Elephas maximus indicus: one gene and its partners. The protein of the gene in region 3 interacts with the protein of the main gene of each other region in a biochemical or structural test. Links are inferred from orthologs where the notes say so. Each region holds a gene or a part of one and is shown on either strand. Other genes may lie near its edges.

Evidence for each region. The genes of interacting proteins can lie anywhere in the genome.
Region 1: the proteins of HDAC3 (region 3) and NR2C1 form a complex in vitro, tested with the Homo sapiens proteins (4 studies listed by BioGRID). The link is inferred for Elephas maximus indicus from reciprocal best matches to the Homo sapiens genes HDAC3 and NR2C1.
Region 2: the proteins of HDAC3 (region 3) and PPARG form a complex in vitro, tested with the Homo sapiens proteins (3 studies listed by BioGRID, with this or other methods). The link is inferred for Elephas maximus indicus from reciprocal best matches to the Homo sapiens genes HDAC3 and PPARG.

The regions. Positions count from the first base shown.
Region 1 is NC_064822.1:160,425,786-160,433,024, reverse strand, and holds the start of NR2C1 (nuclear receptor subfamily 2 group C member 1), read left to right. Parts: upstream 1-4,225; 5' UTR 4,226-5,093; intron 5,094-6,400; 5' UTR 6,401-6,646; exon of another isoform or gene 6,647-7,239. UniProt on the Homo sapiens protein: Orphan nuclear receptor. Binds the IR7 element in the promoter of its own gene in an autoregulatory negative feedback mechanism. Primarily repressor of a broad range of genes.
Region 2 is NC_064838.1:37,499,563-37,507,097, forward strand, and holds the start of PPARG (peroxisome proliferator-activated receptor gamma), read left to right. Parts: upstream 1-4,521; 5' UTR 4,522-5,036; coding exon 5,037-5,118; intron 5,119-7,535. UniProt on the Homo sapiens protein: Nuclear receptor that binds peroxisome proliferators such as hypolipidemic drugs and fatty acids.
Region 3 is NC_064820.1:154,963,402-154,971,080, reverse strand, and holds the start of HDAC3 (histone deacetylase 3), read left to right. Parts: upstream 1-4,673; 5' UTR 4,674-4,724; coding exon 4,725-4,779; intron 4,780-4,894; coding exon 4,895-4,977; intron 4,978-6,545; coding exon 6,546-6,688; intron 6,689-7,679. Other genes in the region: RELL2 (RELT-like protein 2), read right to left, coding at 1,016-1,048, 1,156-1,525, 1,832-2,017, 2,469-2,535, 2,616-2,681, 3,070-3,253. UniProt on the Homo sapiens protein: Histone deacetylase that catalyzes the deacetylation of lysine residues on the N-terminal part of the core histones (H2A, H2B, H3 and H4), and some other non-histone substrates.

The DNA.
Region 1 (7,239 bases), on a different chromosome or scaffold from region 3:
AGAAAGGTTCTCTTTGGCATCATCGCACATTTCTGAACCTCTCTCTGTCCTCTTCGCCTGTGTTCCCTAATATACCCAGTATCCTGCTATTGTCTTCTGGCTGCCCAAGATAGAGGAACCACCACTGCTCATTCTCTCTTCTTCAGTCAAAATCTTGATTATTTAGAAGCATTTCTTTAAATGAGACCATCAGACCAACCCTTAACTCATATAACGCTGTAATATAACAACTAAGTGAGCGTCTTAGTTATCTAGTGATACCATAACAGACATACAAGTGGTTGGCCTTAACAAAGAAAATTTATTCTGTCACAGTGAAGGAGGCTAGAAGTTCGAATTCAGGGTGCCAGCTCCAGGGGAAGGCATTCCTCTGTTAGCTCTGGAGGAAGGTCCTTGTCATCAATCTTCCCCTGGTCTCAGACCTTCTCCATGCAGGGGCATTGGGTCCAAAGGACAACGCTATTTTCCTGGCTCTTGTTTCTTGTTGGTATGAGGTGTCCCCCCACCTTCTCTTTTGTATCTCAAAAGAGACTGACTTAAAACACCACTTAATCTTGTAGATTGAGTCCTGCCTCATTAACATAACTGCTTCTAATCCTGCCTCACTAAAATCATACAGGTAGGATTTACAACACAGGAAAATCACATCAGATGACAAAATGGTAGACAGTCACACAATACTGGGAATCATGATCAAGTCAAACTGATACACTTTTTTTTGGCCGGGGGAGGGGGGGACAATTCAATCCATAACAGTGAGCATGACAGCTTTAAAGTATAATTTTGTTAGCCAAGTTTATATGGGTGGTAGAATATATCTGGAAACGGGGAAAGCCTGCTATTTGGTTATTTAGTTAAAATGTAAATATCAGTATATGATATGTCTTGAATGCATACTTTCATTGTGCTAAATTTTTGGAAAGTTTGAGATCCATTGTAGTGAAATATAATTACTGAGATTTCCAGAGAATTGAAAGCAGATACTGTATTTAATGTAGCAGTTTCTTTCATAGTAACTACCCTGTGCTTTTTAAGAGAAAATATTAAGTATTTCCTCAGGTATCTTAACCCTTTTCCTCAGGTATCATACCCTCCAGCTAATCCTCACCCATCCTTTTCTGTTCTTACTGTTTTCTTCTTTATTCTCACTTCCCCCCACTTTAAGTAGAAGAAAGTGAGGACAGAAGTCTTGTCATTAAAACTCAAACAGCCCCAAAATGCCCTCATTATTACTTAGATCTTAAACCTATACTCTTCACCATCCTACAAGGCCACATTTGCAACTACCTGTTAGATAGCTGGAAACCCTGGTGGCGTAGTGGTTAAGTGCTATGGCTGCTAACCAAAAGGTTGACAGTTTGAATCTACCAGGCTCTCCTGGGAAACTCTATGTGTCCTAGAGTGTCACTATGAGTCGGAATTGACTCGACGGCAACAGGTGGGTTGGATAGCTACACGAGTCCTTCTCAAGCATTTTAAATTTTATAGGACTAAATCTCAACTCACCTTCCCATTCAAATCTCCTTCTTTTATTTTCACCCATAATGGAAAGGCATCATTCTGGGCTCTGGGATCTGTCTCCAAGTCTCAACAAGGCTCTTTGCAGTTATCCTTGTATCCTTTCCATCCTCCTTGCCCTTTTACTTTTTGCCCTTTTATTGTTACTGCATAGGCCCTGACTCAAGTCCCTGTTACTACTTCCCAATGATTACAGTAACTTTTCTTCTTACCTCAATACCTTCTTTATGTGGTCCCATTTTCAGCACTGCCAGAGCTATCTTTCTACAGCATAGCTATAATCTAGTTTTATCTCCTGCTATTATTATATATATTTTTTTATTACAACCTTCAGTGGCTTCCAGGTGGCTTGGCATGGAATGCAAATTCTATTACAGTTCGCCCCAAACCATGTCTCACCTTTATATATTACTTTTCCTCAGGTATCATACCCTGCAGCCAACCCTAATCCATCCCTTCTCTGTTCACAGTGTTTTCTTTATTCTCACTTTTCCCAAGAGTGCCCAACTTGAAAGCCTCCTCTGTGACAGTTGATCCTAGCCTTCTCTCCCCTGTTCCTCCAGAGTAGATCCAGTGTCTCCTTCCTCAGTGCTCCCGTGGCTCTTCGTTCATAAACACTTTCTTATGGTGCTTGTCACATTCTGCCCTTGAGAACCGAAACTGTATCTTGTTCATTGGAGATTCCTCTACAGCCCAGGGCAGAGTGCCTTGCATGAAGTGGACACTTATATTTGCTCAATACAGTTGCTTCTGATTTTCAAGAAAAAAGTGCCTGCAATACACAAACATTATCCTGGAGCTTATGATACTTTTAGTCATTTTCTAAACAAAAAATCTTATCTGACTTTTCCCCTTTTAAGAAAAGAGACAAATACTTTCTAGTAGGATTTTTTTTTAAGGTAAGAAATTTTCAAAAAGCTCCTTTTTTGGGTACAGGGGAAGAGATGAAGGGGGGCAGTTTTTTATATGGGTTCCTATGGCATGAAAGAACACAATCTTGAAATACTGTTGTTTCTTTAAATGATTTATGATGTATTTCTAGAAACATTTTTTAAAGTGATAAGTCTGTTTCTTATTGTCCATATAGAAATAGATCCTTTATAAATAATTAGCATTGTAAATAATGTTAATAAGTATATTTATATTAAATAAATTTAATATCTATTTCTTGTGTGATGTCTTTTAAACCAAAACTTTTAGAGTCACAGATTTAAAGATGAACCTCACTGACCTCTTGGTTTTTCTGAAGGGAAAACTCTCCTTCACCCATAAATGATGTTCCGAAATTGGCTTCTACATCCAAGTTTTAATAAGTTAACTTACTGTGACTTAAGTGAATTAATTAGATGATAAGGGGTAATCTCGCGCATCACTACAGATATGCATACTGTGCCCTGAGAATAGAGAAAAGGTCTCAGATTACTTTTCCATTTGACCTACAGTGTACTTAGCTTTCTCCTTTGGGACCAGTTTAAAGATTGCAGGATTGAGGCAGTACTTTGCCTTAAAACCATCAAACACACAACAAATGATGGTAAAAGTAAGAGGTGGACTTTTACAGAGAATGAGTCATGAATTATATTTCCACTTGCCACATGCCCTTTTTCCATGTGTTCAGTTGCATAGTTCTAGAGGGAAATGACCTAGGAGATGTTCTGGTTCCCAAACGCACATTTGTTTTTCCTGACTTGGGCTTCTGCCTTGAATCGGCAGCTGCTTTTCTACAGTGCTGACCCTCAGTAAGATGGACTGACACTGTGGCTGTAATAATGGGCTCAAGCATAGCAACAACTGTGAGAATGTTGCAGGACCGGGCAGTGTTTGGTTCTGTTGTGCACAGGGACGCTGAGTCAGTACCGACTTGATGACAACAACAACGACCTACGCACCACACAATGGAAATTCTGAGGATCCCTTCTCTTAAAAGTCTAAACCACACAGTACTTTGCATACAGGGCAACTGCTCCTACCACACACTTTGCTGTCTCAGGTGGCCACCATCAGAAAGTGATGTTCTGTCAGTGCCCTTTAACACCTTTATTTACCATCAGGCATTGTCCTAGTGCATGAGGATACACCACTGACAAAGCAGGTAAAAACCAGCCTTCAGGGAGCTTACATTCTAGTGATTATATTCTTGCTCCATTTAATCACATCTCCATTATTTACTCACAATAATTGGTAAATAAAAACCTTGCCTTACGATATATCATTCTGCCTCGGCTCGTTTATATTTAAATAAGGAAATTTTAAATACTTGACTGGGATCTTGTTAATCCTCTAATAAAACCTAGAGTTGTTTGGCACAAATTAGAAACCGAATTGCCTAAAAACAATTGGGTTATGTTTTATTTTTATTATTCAAATCTGAGACGTTGACTCAAAACTTCCTTTTGACAAACACCGTACTTCTAAAAGTACCTGATGGGGACACACAGCTCTCGGCCATTGTCCCTCCGAGCCGACAGGGGGCAGGCGACTTTCAAAACCGCGGCTGGGTTCCTCTCATCCCTCCTCCCCACCCTCCCAACAGAGAACGTCACGCCCCCCTCTCGCGGCTCCTCCACACCGTTAATGCGCAGGCGCGGGCGGGAGCGCGCACCAAGGAGCCGAGGGAGGGGTCACGAACTCTGACCCCCCCCCGAAATACACAAACTCAAAGCTCCCTCCTCCCGCTCCCTGGGTCCTCTTACTCCCCACCTTTCTCCAACCTGTCTCCTCCCGGAACTCCCCAGCATCCGCCGCAGCGGGGCTGTCGGGTCTACGCCCGGAACAGGACCGAGCGCGGCGGAGAACCGCGGGTAAGAAGCGCCGGTGGGGAGAAAAGCGGCCGCACCAGGGGCGGGGGTCGAGAGTGTCCCTTTAACCCAACTGCCAACGGACGCACCCGCAGGACGCCCCCGCAGCCTGCGGGCTCCGGCCGGCAGGGCCGGCCCGTCTGGCACTGCCGCGGTGGGCTGCTCAGGTGGGGTTGGGAGGAAGAACGGAGAGTGGCCGGAGCGGCGGGGCCGAGTGTGCGGGGCTCCAAGAGTGACCGGCGCGGGGACGCGGGTCCTCGTGAGGGCGGCACAGCGGGGCGCGGGAGGTAGTCAGCGAGCTGCTCGGTGCGCACGGCCGCCTCTCCCGCCGCGCCTCCTGCGGCGCCTCTGACCTTTCACCTACAGGAAAAGCTTCCGTCTCGGCGCTGCTGCCGCTTCCCCCTCCCCAAGGGGCCGCGCGCCGTGGCTGGGCCTGTAGGGCGCGTGGCGGCTGGCGGGACTCAGAGGCGCGGGGAGCGGTCCGACGTGGGAGAGGCTGACCCTTTCTTCGAGTGGCCGCTGGCAGAGGCCTGAACCCTTGTCACCTAGGGACTCTCAGATTTTGGTGCTTACAAGTGACTGACGGAACAACGCCCGCAACTTTCACTTTTATTTTATTTTGAAGGGGGAGAGTGTCGCCGCTGCCTTTGGACCTGTGTCTTTTGCATGTCCGAGCACCCAGTAGCTTTTGTTAATAAACCCTGTCTTCAGCTCGCACAGATATCGTTCCATGAATTACAAATGTTGCTGAATTGCCCTGTAACCTGCAGTAAGTAGGTCAGTCTGTAATAAAACAATTGGAAAGGAAAAGGAAAAAAAAAGACTTGAAAGTAAAGCCTTTAGGGTTTTTGCGTCTCTGAAAGTTGTAAATAGGCTGTTGACCTTGAAGTTTTTGAACGGTGTTTGCTGTGTGCTTGGTTGTTACAGGAAGATTGTATTTCAACTTTGTATGTCCGATTGGTAGATCTAAAAGATACTTAGATTTTATTCTTATGAAAAATATATTGTATTCTTAAAAAAAGGGGGGGGTTTCACGAAATGTTGCTAATTTCATCATTCCTTGTGGAGGCATTTCAATTTTATAGGAATTGAGGTATTTTGTTTTTTATTGTGCTTTAGGTGAAAGTTTACAGCTCAGGTTAATTTTTCGTACAAAAATTTGTACACATTGTTTTGTGACGTTAGTTGCAATCCTCCCAATGTGAGGACCCCCCCCCCCCCCGCCCCATGTCCATTCGGCTAGTTCTTATGACTTTCCATCCTGTGTTTGGACAGGAGCCGCCCATTTGGTCTTCTGTATCTGAATGAACTAAGAAAAGAAGCACATTCCTCACGCGTATTATTTTTTGTTTTATAGTCCTGTCAGATCTTTGTCCGAAAAGTGGGCTTCGGGAATGGTTTCAGTTCTGGGTTAACAGTGTGTCAGGAGGCCATAGTTTTGGGGGTTCCTCCAGTTTCCAGTAAGTTTGGGCTTTTAAGGAAGACACAAACCAACGGCAGCAAAAATTCCTGAAATACCTACTTCTGTGTGTCTGCCGCAGAGCCTAATTCCTACCTTTGGGATATAAAAAAAGACAAAAGAAGTAGCATACGATAATTAATAAATATTAGAAATATAATTCCTTACTTTCTTTCCATACACATTGCTGTGGAGTCGATTTCGACTCATAGCGACCCCATAGGACAGAGTAGAACTGCCCCTTAGTGTTTCCAAAGAGCGTCTGGTGGATTCAAACTGTTGGCCTATTTTTGTTCAGCAGATGAGCTCTTAACCACTATACCACCAGGACTCCAAATCACAAAATCCTTCGGCAACCTTTAAAAATCTTGTTTTGAAAGCCGTGGACTCCTCCTTAGAAAAATGCACGTGCACATACAGTTTTGCATACAATAGAAAAAAAGGAGTTTATTCATGAATCCTAGTTAACAACCTTACTGTACACAGTAAATACTAGACCAGTCTGGCAAGAGTGGGTAAAAACTATTTGAACTGAGCTGGGGTGGGGAAGGGAGTGTAGGAGATTGGAACGATATATTGAGGAATAAGTAACATCTTTTTTTTTTTTTTACTTTAACCTGAATAGGTGGCGTCTCTTGGGAATGATAGGAGAGAAGATGAGGAAATCAAATTATAAAGGAGTTCGCCATAGTTTTCTCAGGGCCAGGCATGTAGTGGTTGCTTAATAAATACTGAAAGAATACCAAGGCAAGGAGTTAGGACTTATTCTTTGGCCATTAAAAAGACACCGATGGTTCCAAAGCAGGAAAATAAGGATGTAATTCAGTTCCGCAAACATGCTGAGAACCTACTTGCCAAAGCACTCTACCAGGTACTGATACAAAGATGGTTCTTGTTTTCTATTGTGTGCCAGCGATTCCTGCTCATATCGACCCTGTAGGGCAGAGTAGAACTGCCCCATAGGATTTTCTAAGCTGTAATCTTTACGGAGGAGTCTTGGTTGTGCAATAGTTAAACACTCGGCTGCTACCTGAAAGGGCAGCAGCTCAAACTGACGAGCTGCTCCATGTGAAAAAGTTGTGTAGGTCTACTCCCATAAAAATTACAGCCTTGGAAACCTTATTAGGAATCAGTTGGACAGCAAAGTGTTCACCCTAGCAGATCTCCAAGTCTTTTCTCCCGCAGAGGAGCAGCTGGTCAGTTCCAACAGCCTAACCTTTTGGTTAGCAGCCAAGCACTTAACCATTGTACCACCAGGGCTCCTTTCTTACCTTCTAGTGGCTTTTAATATGCATAGAGTTGTATATGTTAAATACACATTCAGGAAGCTCAGTTCTGGCAGTAGCTGAAATTTTACTCCATGTGTTAAGTTGGGATTCTTGGACGAGGAGGTTTTATGAACCCCTTAGTATTTAACATATGCTGTTGTTTGCACTGTGAATGTACTTGTGTGTATATGTACCT
Region 2 (7,535 bases), on a different chromosome or scaffold from region 3:
TTGGTCCATTTTTATGTCCATGTGAGTTAGTTGTTTCTTAAATAACCTATGACAAAATATTATAATTACTTTTAATATGAAATCTGATTAAAGAGTCCACATGATATAGGCATTTTGTTGGTAACTTAGGGTGCTTCATAAATTGCTTGATTTGTATATGTTGTCAAGAGTTGACCAACATTTATTGAGCCTGCTATGTGACAGGCTCTATGTTGACCAAACTTATAATTTTGTTTGTTGGCTACTTTTTAACTCTATAAGATGGAGAACACATTTATCTTGTTCATCATTGTGTCCTTAGCACCCAGCTTAATTCCTGCCACATATTATATTGCCAATAAATATTTGTCGTAAATGAATGAAATGTAGTGAATAAGGTAGACTTCTGCTTTTAAGTAACATAGTCTAGGGGGAGAAGGGATGACAGAATGTGATAAGTTTTATAAAAGTAGGTGCTATTAGATTCAGATGCTATAGAATAATTAACTGCTGAAAATAATTGTATGTTTGCATGGCTAAAGCACAGTGTGAGAGCCATTAAAGGCTTAGAAGGCCTAGCTATACAGTAGATAGGCAACTTGAATGGTGTCTGAGAAAAATGAGAATAGAAGTAGCAGTAGGTGAAGAGTACAGAAATTAGTCCCTTTGAGGATAGTTAGAAAGATTGGGTCTGTGTAGTTCCCAAATATAAGAGACTACTGTAGAACTTGAGAACCAGGTAATACTATTGGCTTCAGAAACAAAACTAAGAATATCCCCCAAATAGTTAACATGGTAGAAACTAGCTACATTATAGTTGAGGGAAGGTAGAAAAACAGGAGGAAGAAGGGTATTGAGAGCCACCCCCAATAACCCATAAATATTGAAAAATGATCAATTATTTACTGATATTGCTTTGAAGGGTTAACATATTTCCCCCCTAACTCATACCATACTCCATCCCAATGGTGCCTGATTTATTAAGAGATGTGATTTAGACACTTCGAAGAGTAGAAAGTTGATGAAGGACAATAGAATCCTGGCCTGGGAATTGGAGGTCCTAACGACTGAGACTGTAATTGCAACTCTGTCACCACTGGGCTATTCAGCCTAGAGAATGTACTTGTCATTGTGGGGCCTAGTTTTCTCATCTTATTAATAAAGTGTTGGACTCTAAATAGTTCCTCCCACTCTAAAATAGTATCATCCTGCCAATTTTATCATTTTATAATCTAGCATGATCTTAATAACGTTAAAAAAAAAGTATAATCTTAATAACATTTTAATAAAACATACCTTTTCAAAAAGTTAAAGAGACTCTGGAATCTAAGAGCAAGAATGAGATGATTGTAGGGATTTGAGTGAGATACTGCCCCTTGATAGGAAATAAGGCTGTTTGTCCTCTAGACCCAAACATATCTTGGGACATTGAATAGGAGTATCTATAGGCAGAATGGGGCTTATATTCTTTTCTATTTTATTAAAAAGAAGGAAAGTGCTGTGACTTTAATGATTTATTTTGCTCTATCATAAATTGAACCAAAAATCTGAGATTCAATCATATCCTTAAATATTATGTCATTGTGTCTGGATTACTTTGTAACATAATTAAGTTTCCCAGGATTAAGAGAGAAGGAGCAACCCCTTTATTGAGAATTCAAATTGAATATAGACCTAGTTCTATAATTACTTCAGTCATTTGGACTGTCAAGAAACTTACTTTAACTTGAATTACCTTAATAAAAACCTGTTAATAAAAGGTGTTTTTTTTTATTCTCTTGCTTTAAATAGCCATATAATTGCCCAACCTTCTACTTTGTTCTGTGCCGTTCAGATCTAGTAAGTGTTTTCCCACCAAACTATTGCTCCGTAATTGGCAGGGAAACTTTTACTAGTCCCCTTGAAGGATAACTGGTTATTCAGTGTCCGTTGGCTAGATTATATACATATATTCACTTGGGGAATATCAGGATATATGCAGCTGAGAGAATTATTGCCATCTATACTGCCCTATGTGGGGGCAACTTTTTAAATCCACAAGTCACTGCAATTCTATTAGGCCACTTAATGTGACAAGAGGTGGCTTGCTCCCACATTAGGAGTTTGGCAGAGCTAGCGCTTCTCCTTGCCAAAAAGGGCAAAGGCCTTGAGCAAGAAGCCAGCTTTTTCCTGGTTACAAAACTGACCACAATTCCTCGCCAGTCCATCAGTGTAACTCTATTTTTTCCTGGTAATGCATTCTTCACAGAGAGAACTCTGCATTTTTCATTATAACATGGCATTTATCATTTAAACTTCAACCCATGTTTAAACATCAACTAATGCAACATTGTTACATTTGTTATTGATGGATACACTTGATCGAGTTTTGAAAAAGCAAACCCTGATATATACAATCAAAACCATATCAGGCCCTACCCAAAGCAACCTATAGATACAATGCAATCCCAGTCCAAATTCCAACAACATTCTTTACTGAAATGGAAAAACATATCACCAACTTTATAAGAAAAGGAAAGAGATCCCAAATAGCCAAAGCAATATTGAAGAAGAATAACAAAGTAGGAGGCCTGACACTCACGACCTCAAAACATACTATACAGCCACAGCAACCAAAACCGCCTGGAACTGGATCAATGACAGCAACATAAATCAATGGGACAGAATTGAGAACCCAGAAATAAATTCATCCATCTGTGGGCAGCTGATTTTTGACATGGGGTCAAAGTCCATTGAATGGGATGGAAGTAGTCTCTTTAACAAATGGTTGCTGGCAAAACTAGATATTCATTTGCAGAAAAATGAAACAAGATCCATACTTCACACCATATCAAAAAAAAAAAAAAAAAAAAAAAAACCTCAAAATAAATCAAAGACCTAAATGTTAAAGCCAAAACTATAAAGTTCCTGAAAGAAAACTTGGGGACAAAATTATGAGACCTAACTTTTTTCAGTAACGGATTACCAAACACAACTACAAATGCATGAGCAACAGACGACAAGTTAGATAACTAGAACCTCCTAAAAATTAAATGCTTATGCTCATCAAAAAACTATTAAAAGAGTAAAAAGAGAACCTACAGATTGGGAAAAAAAACTTTGGGAATGATATATCTGATAAGGGTCAAATCTCTAAAATATATGGAAAACTTCAGCAACTCAACATCAGAAAGACTAATAGCTTAATTTAAAAATAGGCAAGGGACATGAACAAACACTTCACCAAATAGGACATTCACGTGGCCAACAAACACATGAAAAGTTGTGATCATTAGCCATTAGAGAGATGTGAATCAAAACTACAATGATATATACCCTCTCACCCCTGCAAAAATGGCACTGATCAAAAAATAGAAAACAACAAATGCTGGTGAGGTTGAGGGGAGATTGGAACCTTGCTCCACTGCTAGTGAGATTGTAAATTGGCTCAACCTCTATGGAAAACGGTATGGTGCTTCCTCAAAAATCTAGAAATAGAAATACACTATGATCCAGCAATCCCATTCTAGGCGTATATGCTAAAGAACTAAAACTACTGACACAAACAGACATACACGCTCATGGTCCGTGCAGCACTGTTCACAATAGCAAAAAGATGGAACCAACCTAACTGCTCATCAGCCGATGAATGGGTCAACAAACTGTGGTACATACACACAATGGAATACTATACTGCCATAAAGAATAATGACAAGTTCTCAAAATACATTATAACATGGATGACTCTGGAGGACATTATGCTGAGTGAATTAAACCAATCACAAAAGGGCAAATACTGTATCATCTCACTATTATAAAAAGAAAAGAATAGTTACACATACAGTAAGCAACATTCTTTGGTGGTTACCAGGGATGGGAGGGAAAAAGAGGGAGAATCACTTTCTAGATAGTTGATGCTTGTTAGTTTTGGTGATGGGTAAGGTAATACTGAATAAGGATGAAGTCAGCACAACTTGACCAAGGTAAATGATCACACAAAGAAATACACAAGAATAAGGGGTGATTTTGGTAAAAAGCCACAACATATAAAATTTTGCAACAACAGTAGTAACAACCAAAAAAATATGTGCATGGTTACATGTAGATGTGTGTACTTATATATGTATAGGTAAAAACAAAAAACACACCTCTAACCAGAAGGCTGGAGGTTCAAGTTCACCCAGAGATACCTTGGAAGAAAGGCCTAGTGTTCTAAGTCTGAAAGGCCATCCTTTGAGAACTCTGTGGAGCACAGTTCTACTCTGACACGCATGGGGTTAAGTTAGAATCTACTTAACAGCAACTGGTAAAAGTAGTAGAATAAATATCTTAAAAAAAAACCAAAGAAACCCACTGCCGTTGAGTCGATTCCAACTCACAGCGACCCTATAGGACAGAGTAGAGCTGCCCCTTTGAGCTTCCAAGGAGGACCTGGCGGATTCAAACTGCCAACCTCTTGGTTAAAAACTGTAGCGCCTAACCACTACACCACCAGGGTTTCCATAATAAATATCTTAGGATTATAATATGTTGATAACAAATTTAAAATGAGTGCATATTCGAATTCAAAAGTTTACTTCAGATAACGTGGCTACAGATTCAACCAGGAATGGACAGCTAGAAAAAAACTTCGTCCAAATGAATTTCTCTGGTATTTCATAACCCAGGGATTTAAAGTCTTCCATTTTAGGAAGCTCTTGAACAATCTCCTTGCTCTGATAATTCTAAATACTGTACAGTTCACACCTCTCACAAGACTCTGAACATGTGGGTTACTGACGAGACAGTGTGGCAATATTTTTCTTGTAATGTACCAAGTCTTGCCAAAGCAGTGAGCAGCATTATGACACCACGTTTTGTCACAGCTGGCTCCCTAACAGGATGGTGCCAGCCAATTCAGGCCTGGTCCTTTCTGTGTTTATTCCCACTTCTCCCAAATATTTGGAAACTGGTGTCTTGATTCACTGGTGTATTCATGTTTTATTACTGCAAGTCTTTTTCGTTTACCGGATTGATTCTTTGCGAGGAATAGACAAAGTATCATTGTGAATCACAGCGAATCTCTTTTCCATGCTGGTATGGGTGAAACTCTGGGAGATTCTCTCATTGACCCTGAGAGCTGTTGCTTCAGTGATACACTGTCTGCAAGCACTTCACAAGGTAAAGTCTGTTCTAGAAAGGGCTATTTGGGATATTTTTGGCATTAAGTAAGGGTAAAATTGCTCGTCTAGGTTCAGACTACAGAAAAGTTGTTTTTCAAAGTATATTTATTCTAATACTATCGTGTCTATATTTCAGTACTTTAATGCTTAGTTTTCTGCCCCAATGTTCACTTATAAAGAATATTCAAAACCTTTGGGAGGGGGGAACCTAATAAAATTATTTCTGTGCATGGTTCTTACTTCCTGAATTGTAGGCATTAAAGGCGCATGTATATCCTAAACCAGTCTTATTTGTTTTTATTTCCTGAGTTTGTATACATTTCCCAAAAATACTTAAGGAATTTTTGGAATTTTTGAAGAGTCACTTTCCCCCCATTAGTCTTTTATGCTAGATATTTCTCACAGGGCTTTCTATCCCTCTTCCAGCACTTTTATTCCTCTTAAACCTCTCTGAGTACTTTTCTGTTCTACTTTGAAATCTAGGTATTTGTGTGTACATTTATCTCGCTGAAGAATTGTAAGCACCCGGAGTGTAGGGACCAAGCTATATTCTTTCTTGTGTTTCTTAGGATACCTAGCATAGTGCCTACTCTGTTTTAAAAGCATAGATTGTGGGGACCTTGAAGAACATCCGTTCTAAGAACCTCATTTCACACTTGAAGTAAATGAGTTTCCTAAAAGGTTAAATGCTTATTGTGTGCTAAATAAGATATTACTTCTGCGAGGATATGAAAGATTCAAACAGCGACTTCATTTTTCAGCATTTCTTTCTTAGCCATTGCCAAGTTTAAGTTCTTCATTTCTACAGCTCCTTCTACTGGAGTTTCTTAGGACAGCTTCTTATGTTTTGTATTGTTTCATATTTATTTCTTTGTTTCTATTTGTTTTATTTTTTTTCTCTTCTCATAGGCCTCATGTAAAAATAGATTGTGTTAACTAGTGTGAGTCATGTTTTACACTATAAATGCTAAGGCATTAATGTTAAGTCACCTAATTGTTTAAATGGACGCTTCTATTTTAAGCTTTTGATCTTTATGAAAGCCTAGAACTTTAACATATTAATCACAAATTTTAAAAGCATCATTTTTTTTAATTAAGAAAAAATATTTCCTGAAATACTGTTTCAGTTTATTATAATCCTTTGACTCAATGTATATTTCTATCTTGCTGATTTCTATCTTTCTGAGCCTCTTATATAGGACTTTATTTTCATGATGCTGTGTAAAATGATGGTATTCTATTTTTTTTGCAAGCCATAAAAATTATTGCTACCTTTCTTCAGTTATTGATTTAGCCTGCATTAGGGCAAAATGTCCTAGCTATTCCATGAAATAATAGTACTTGAATCAAAATGTGATAGTTTTCTCTGTTTGAAAAGAATATCTCTAGAGTGTAATGCAACAAACCTTTTAGGTTCTCTGGAGGCAAGTACAATAGAAGTCCTGTATATTGTAAGGACGGTTATGTGATTCAAATTGGTTTTCTTTCTGTGCTAATCTCTTACTTTTAGTGCCTTGAATTTTCCCTGTTTAATCTCCTCCAAAAGAAGAACCCAGTACTTTTCTTCTTTAAAAAAAGCTATTGTGATAAAATATATATTATAACCAAAAAATGGCTGTTATAATCATTTTAAGTGTGCAATTCAGTGACATTAATTACATTCACCATGTTGTGCGTGGTCATCACTATCTATTTCCAAAAGTTTTTCATCACCCCAAAAAGAAATTCAGTATCCCTTAAGCAATGACTTCCCATTCTCCCCTCCTTCCAACCCCAATAGCCACTGATCTACTTTTGTGTCTGTGCATTTGCCTGTTATTTTGCCAAATACGTGCCTTATATCTTATATAAGTAGACTCACACTTCTCCTTTTGTGTCTAACTTATTTCATTCAGCATAACGTTTTCAGGGTTCATCCATGTCATAGTGTATGTCTGAACTTCGTTTCTCTTATAGCCGAGTAACATTGCATTGTATGTGCGTACCACATTCGGTTTATCCATTCCTCTGCTGATGGTCACTTGGGTGGTTTCCACCTTTCGGCGATCATGAATAGTGCTGTAATGAACCTTCTTGTACAAGTATCTGTTTGAGTCCCTGCTTTCAAGACTTTTAGGTATATATCTAGGAGTGAAATTGCTGGGCCATAGTACTTTTCTTTTATTAGCAATTACAACACATTTTGTACCAGTAATTTAGTCTCATATTATCTTACATGGTTTGTGATTACATCTTATTCGTGTTGTTTTCTGTTAAAATATAAGTTCCTAAAGGCCTTCTGTTGTATTTTATGGGTAACCAGTAAATATTTACTGATGGATTGACAATTTCAATTGCTACCCCCTGCCAAAACAGACAAAAAAACTTGAAAATAAATAAGGAATGTGATCATTGTTAGCTACCTGGAGCCAGCAA
Region 3 (7,679 bases):
CCTACACATTACAGCCAAAAGTTGGAATTTCTCCCATTTTCACTCTCACCCATTTCTGGGGCTAGAGCCCACTCCTTTTCCTCCGTTCCTCTCCTGCAATCTCTAGGATTGGAACTACCCCTTTCTTTTCCACCACCACCCCATCTCCAAGGCTGGAACCCCTTCTATCCCACTCCTGAAATCTCTGGGGCTGGAACCTACCCTCCTCAAATCTTGAATGGCTCCGCCCATGTTTGTCTCCACCCTGGGTCTGTGCCCCACCCCATCCTGGGTACCAGGGCCACTTGGGCTGGGGGCAGGGACAGAGTCAGGCCTTGCGAATCAGAAGGAGCTGGAGCCAGTATGCAAAAGCAGCTGTAATGGTCTGAGCGGATTTATTGACAGTGAATAAAGGGCAGGAAGCCCAAGCCAAGCCTTGGCCTCTTGCGCCAAGAGGGCAGGGGGCCTAAGGTGCTATTGCTTTAAGGGCCCACCAAAGGCAGGGGCCTGCTCCCAGCTGCCACGCTCTAGCATATGGAGTGAGGTGTTAGGAAGGCAGGTCAGGTGGCCTGTTGGCAGGCAAGGGAATGGGAAGAGACTGACGGGTGTATTGAGGGCTACTTCTGAGGTCCCCCAGCTTGAGACCATGAAACTCCAGGTGGAAGTAAGGCTGGTCCCTCAGCTGGGGGCAGTGCTGTCCAGTGGAGGGGAGGGGCTTCATGTCCACCCACCCCGGACTCTGCCAGCTGGTAGTCCATTCAGCAGCAGCGAAGAATGAGGCTTGGAAGAGAGGGAGGGTAACAATGTTGCCTTCTATTTAAGGTCTGTCCCAGTTTTTTCCTGGTGACACAGGACCCCTTCACTTCCGGGTTCCTGAATCTACCCCCTGAAGCACATGCCCACTCCCCACCACCAAACCAAAAATTTGTAGCAAAGGCTAAAGCCTGCAGTTCACCTGGGGGTTCAGGGAGCTGACGGGCTTGAGTGGGGGGTAGGAGGATAAGATTCACTGCCCTGGGTCCCAGGCAGACTCACCTCACATACCCCCTGCTCCCCGTGGTGGGGACACCTGAGAGAAAAGGGAGGGGTCAGCAGTGGAAAAATAGTCCCCAGAGTAGGGGACAACAAAAGCTCAGTCTGCCACATCCCACTGAAGCCCTGGCCATGTCTTCATACCTGGTGATCTGAGATGTCCAGTTTGGTTGCTTTTGCCTCTTGACTGGGCAGCCCCGGACTTGGGCCCCTGCCTCCGGCCCCCAGCACCAGCTCTGCAGAGGCTCCAGGGTTCCCCTCAAGTGCACAAGGTACTATGCTACTGTCCCTGAGTCCTCCATTCTGCACTGGGGGGCTGGCTAGGGCTGGGGACTGTGGCCTGTTAGGGGGCAGTCTCTCCATGGCAGGCATCCCTGCCCTGGGCTGTCCTCCCCCAGATCCCTGACTGCCCCCTGGGTCCTGTCCCCCACTAGAGCCCCAGCTCCTGTCTGTTGGGGAGCCATCACGATGCTCATGCAGCCCATGGCGTTTCTCAATGTGTGTCACCCGAAACCTGGGAGGGGAGGGAACACTGGAGCTTAGGACCACAACTGAGAGGCTTCTTGCCCTCCTCTCCAATCAGGGACATCCTGGGTGTGATGGCCACTTCCCTCTGGCCTGGGCAGGGGAGGCCTTCTCAGACTTTGGGGTATATTGTGCAGCCTGACCCTGCTGCAGCGCCCAGTCCAGGAGAAAAGAGCCAGGGAGGGCCCTTTGGAGATCCTGCATGGAGTCCCACCAGGCCCACCTTTTGAGTTAGATGCCTGATCACTGTGGCCCCCACCTCTACCTCCCTTTCCCTGGAACACTGTGGCCCCACCTGCCCACAGAGAACACGGTGGTCTCTCCAGGCCGGGGTCGGCTCTTTCCTTCCTTGGAGCGGCCCTGACGGACAAGTGGGGGCCTCTTGCTGCGGCTGCAATGGATGCAAGGGGCTGCAGAGCCCAGATGCACTGTGTGATGGTGGGAGGGGGCTCCATCCTGCAGGCTGGAGGTGGCATCCACGCTGGACAGGAAGGAGGAGAACAGGGGTGACATTCCCATCTCCCTTCCTGTTCTGTTGCCTCCTGTTCTTTCAGCATGCTCGTTAAACCCCCAGATATCCCACTTCCCCAAGACCCCAACATTCTTTTCTTGTCTTTGTGTAATAAACTCAGTATTAAGATGTCAGTGACCATGCATTCTCCCTCTCGGGACTGTTTGCCAGAAAGAGAATAATGGTTAACCCAAAGGAGTGGCATTAAGGGTGAGTGTTAGGCTTGCCGATGTTCAGGTGGGAGAGATGGTTTGAAGGACCCTGGATTTCTACAAAACTTTTTACCTATAGGTGAGCCAACCTTGCCATCTACTTCCATGCCCCCACAAACATGCAAGGAGACTGGGAAAGAATTGTGCTGGAGGAGAGTACTTTCCAAGGCAACCAAAGCCATGCTGGACCTTATTTCCAGGCAACTCACCTGGACAGCTGCACTGTCCCTTCTCCTTCACTGTCCCCCAGCATCTCCTTCAAGGCCTCAGCATTGGCTGAGGGGAGAAAGAAAAGATGGAGTTAGTGGAGGTCAGGGCAAGAGAAGGGGGTGGGGAAGGAGTCAGCCTACACCTACCTTCATTTTGGATGATGCATCGAACAATCCTCTCTACTGTGTCCTCATTCATGTCATCCTCCTCAGCTGAAGGATGAAAGAGGTTGGCAAGGAAGAGAGAAAAGAATCACTTTGGGGGGGGGGCATTACCTGGTGGTTCCTGTGGCTTACTCCTCAAAACATATCCCTTAATCTATTTGCTCTCATGCTGGACTTTAGCATTTCAGGAGCCAGGCCAGGGAAGATGGGGAGGTCAATGGGAGCCAAAGACCTTCCTCCCCATGTTGCCTCCTCTAGTCTTGCCTTTAGGGTGGTTTCACCCCACTTGCTGACTCAAGGAAGCATCACTAGGCCTCCTGCAGGCTTGACTGGGATCGGACCTAGGTCTGTTGGCCAGGGAAAGCGGAAAAAGATGTGGGGAGAAGCGTTTAAGAGAGAAAGATGGCTGAGCCAGGGTTCCCGGCTCCTGACTCACGGGACTGGAGCTGGGCGTCGTCAGGCTCCGAGCCCCTCGATGTGCGGCAGCGGTAGCCCTTCTTCTTGAGCACGTGGCAGATCATGAAGCCTACGAGGCCCATGAGGAAGAAGACCAGCACAAGCAGGAAGAGCATGTACAGCTCATGCTGGGGAGGCTCCAGGTCAGGCTGTGGTTCCGACATGAGGCCCTGGGGGGCGAGCGCGGGCCAGGGCGCCTCCTGGGGGGAGGGGGCTGCAGCTGGGGATGTTGGGGAGGGGTAGGAATGCCTCAGATTCCAAACTGGCAAGGCTCAGAGATCCGGTCCCACCCCCTACCCAACCAGGGAGCTGTCCGGGCCAGGGGTGCTGGTGCGCCAAGAGCTGCCGGGACGCGGGGCCAGACAGCGGCTGCGCAAGTCTTCTTCCACGACCCTGGTCCCGCTTCCCCGACGCCCGGAGCTTTCCCCTTTCCAGCTCGTCCCTGCTCTTCCGTCCCTCCCAAGGACACTGCAGCGCAAGACGGGACGGAATTCTCAGGCGGCGGGCGCAGGAGTCGCGCCTGAGTCAGCGTTCGCACCCGCTCCGCGCCGGCCTGGGCCCGGCCTCTGCAGCCCCCTCCCCTGCCTTCCTTCCCGCACCCTCCCTTTTACGATTCCTTCCACCCTGAGCACCTGGCCCACCCAGTACCGGTGGTTCGGTTCTGGCTTCGGCTCGGGTTTCGGCTCCAGGGGCGTCCTAGTCCTGCTCGGGGCCCCCGACGCCCTCCCGGCGCTCATCCCTTGTTTCCTTCCCCTCCCCCTTCGCCGCCTCACCGGCTCCGGGCTGCGGCTGCGGCTACCGGTGCAGCGGCAGGCGGGGGGAGGGAAGGATGGAGAGGGATGAGGGCTGGCTGGGAGCCGCAGCAGGCTTCAGACAACTCCGGCCCTGGGAAGGAAGGGGGGTGGGAGGCGCCGCCGCAGCAACCCCTGGGTTTCCAAATGCCTTCGCCCGCCGCCGGCCCGGGACCGGGGGGCGGAGCGCAGGTGTGCGGAGCGGAGAGCTTGAGCTGTGCGCGCGTGTGTGAGCGCAAGTGTGGTGCGCGCGTGACTGGCTGGCACCTCTCCGGGGGGAGCGCGGCGCCGTCTGAGTCCGGGTCAGGACAGGCGGCCCGGCCCGGCGGGTGTGCTCCCCTCTGGTCTATCCCGCACGCCTGGAGAGGCTCCTGTCCGCAGATGCCCTAGCCGGGCGGATAGCCAGGGATCTCTCCAGCGGGCAGGCAGAAACCGGTTTTCTGCACCCGAGCGCGGCGGCGTGGCTGGTTCTCCAGAGCGTACTAGCGGGGCGGGCGCGGAGACCACGGCCGCACTCTCCTCTGGGGCAGAAGGCTGGACTAATGGCTCGGCTTCACGAAGATTTGGCCCCCGCCCGGAAGGAAATGACCCTCCCACGCTGAGACCGAGGTTACTTGTCCAGCACTCGAGCCGGGACGCTTACACCCAACCCCCAGGGGCCTGGCCAGCCGGGGGAGGGGCGGAGTCTTGCAGGGGGTGTGACCTGGGCGTGGTCTCACGGAGGCGGGGCCTAGGCCTCCCAGTTCCGCAGAGGCGGGCTGCGTACATACGCAGCACGCACGGCCGGGGGCGGGGCTGGCGGCCGGGCGGGCGGCGGAGGCCGGGGCCTGGTCCCGCGGTCGCCATGGCCAAGACCGTGGCCTATTTCTACGACCCGGACGTGGGCAACTTCCATTATGGTGAGGGATCAGGGTTGTGTGCGAGGGGTTTCAGGGCGCAGAGGTTTCGAGGCAGGGGCTGCAACTCCGGGGGTGGACACTGACGAACTCTCTTCTCCCCACCCCCATTGCCCAGGGGCTGGACATCCTATGAAGCCTCATCGCCTGGCATTGACCCATAGTCTGGTTCTGCACTACGGTCTCTATAAGAAGATGATCGTAAGTCCCGCTGCCTCTGCCATGTGTTAGGGGTGGGGCGAGCTGTGGTCTTAGGGCTAGGTGGGCTGGACTGAATGCACCAGGTGCGATCTGCATACGAAAACAGGAGCGGGGGGGTGGGGGGCGGTGTAGCTGGACAGAAGGCACGAGGAGAAACCTCCCTCCAACGTGTTGAGGATGGTGTTCTCTGACTTAACGGGAGTTACTTTTTTCACTTAAGGTCAGCCACCCTTTGGCCCCAAGTGGACCAGCCCTTGACCTAGGGGTATGGTGGGGTGGGGCTGGGTTGAAGACCTGATGTTTTCATCCTTAGCGTCTTAGTGTGTGGGTAGTGCTGTGGCCTTAAGGGTGGGGGAGGGGCTGGACCACTGTACCTGACTGTGGGGTTTACCCTCATTTCCCACCTTTTCTCCTCATGTCCTGTTTCTTTCTGGAAGATGTTAGAGCTCTCGAGGGAGGGCCCACCAGCCTTGGGTGTAAATGTGTATGCGTGTATGGAGGGAGACAGGAGACATCCTGGGTATCTCCTTTCTAACCTAGAACGCTGCTACTCAAACCTTCATCTCCCAGACATCACACACGCTGCCCCCAGCTTGTAATTTATAGTTGTGATTTGGCGGTATAACAGGCCTAACCCTTATGCGTTGTGAGGGGAATTGGCCAACAATATGAATGAGTGTCCGCTGCTTGTGCTGAGGCACAGTCAAGTGGATTGGTCATAGAAAAGACTGAAGTGATGTTAATGCACGAGTCAATGAATTCCCTGAAATCATTTGCCTATATATACCTGTGTGCATTTTCTAGAGAGAGAAAAACTGCACTGTTCTTGCCCAGTTTCCAAAGGGGCATGTGAGGTACCCAAAAGATACTAAATCTCTGGTTTAGTCCTTTGGGTTTTAATTAGAAGGTGGTCTTTGACTCTAGAATGGGAGAAGGGAGGGGATAGCTGGATAGAAGACACCAGGAGTAACCTCCCTCCTTCTCCAGAGTGTAGAGGATGGTGTCCTCTGACTTAACGGGGGTTACTTTTTCACTTCAGGTCAGCCACCCCTTGGCCTCAGGTGGACCGGCCCTTGGCTTAGGGGTATGGTGGGGTGGGGCTGGTTTGAAGACCTGATGTCTTCATCCCTAGCATCTTAGTATGTGGGTAGTGCTGTGGCCTTAAAGGTGGGGGAGGGGCTGGACCACTGTACCTGACTGTGGGGTTTACCCTCATTTCCCATCCCTTCTCCTCGTCTCTTCTTTCTACCTGGAAGATGTTAGAGCTCTAGAGGGAGGGCCCAGCAGCCCTGGGCTGGAGGTGGGAATGAGGCAGGAAGCCCGGTCAGGGGGCTCGATCATAATAACCCACTTGGCTCATCAGAGCCTGTTTTCTTCAGGCGCAGAGTGACCTTTGCCTCACAGAATAACAAGGATTGGTGTGTTGTGATGTGATGTCCGTTGCGTGTGGTGTGGTGACTGCTGCGTGCGGACTTGAACAATTGCCAGGGTTGGGTTCAGTGTGAGTGGTCTCAGCCCCGTGAGTGGGCATGACCCTGCCTGGGTTCATCTTGTGTCTCCATCCCGAGGTTTTCAAGCCATACCAGGCTTCCCAGCACGACATGTGCCGCTTCCACTCCGAGGACTACATCGACTTCCTGCAGAGAGTCAGCCCCACCAATATGCAAGGCTTCACCAAGAGCCTTAATGCCTTCAATGTGGGTGATGACTGGTGAGGAGAGGACTGGGAATTTTGATGCTCGGCACTTCAAAAGGGGGAATTCTTGCACGAGATCTTGTGGCAACAGCACTGGAAAGCTAAGAAGAGGGCTTACTTATCAGTGAATCACCACTTTCTCATTTGTTTATTCAGCAAATAGTTATTGATCATTTGCTATAGGCCAGATCTGGTGCTAAGTGCTGGGCATACAATGATGAACAAAAATGAAAAAAGCTAGGAGGTGGGAATAAACAATCGTGGAGCTTGCAGTCTAGTGGGAAGGCAATCATCTAATCTATACATAAATTTAATATTGTGGTTGTGCCAAGTCCTATGCAGGAAGGGGTACATGACAGACTGTGAAAGCGTATAGTTGGGAGAATAATCTAGTTTAGGAGGAGGCTGGTCAGGGAAGACTTCCTAGAGGGAGTAAAGAGAGGATTGAACTGACATCTGCAGAAAGAGCAGGAAGTGATTAGGTGAAAGGGGGTTGGGTGGCTGGAGGGGGAGAGAGCATATGGTGGGCAGCAGGGACTATATGTGTTAATGGTCTCTGGTAGGATAGAGTATGACTCATTTGAGGGACAGAAAAAAGGCCGAGTGCTGAATATGAAGAGGAGAGTGATCTGAATTGAGGTTAAAAGAGACAGGCGTGGCCTGACCTTTTAAGCAGCCCTATCATGCAAACCCTGGTGGCATAGTGGTTAAGAGCTGTGGCTGTAACCAGAGGTCAGTGGTTCGAATCCACCAGGCGCTCCTTGAAAACACTATGGGGCAGTTCTACTCTGTCTTATAGGGTTGCTATGAGTCGGAATCGACTCGACGGCAACGGGTTTTTTGGATTAAGTAGAGAGGGGCCCTCGTGGTGCAGTGGTTAAGCACTCGGCTGCCTGTGGTTCAAACCCACCAGCCGTTCTGAGGGAGAAAGATGTGGCAGTCTGGTTCTGTAAAGATTACAGCCTTGGGAACCCAATGGGCCAGTTCTATTCCATTCTATAGGGTC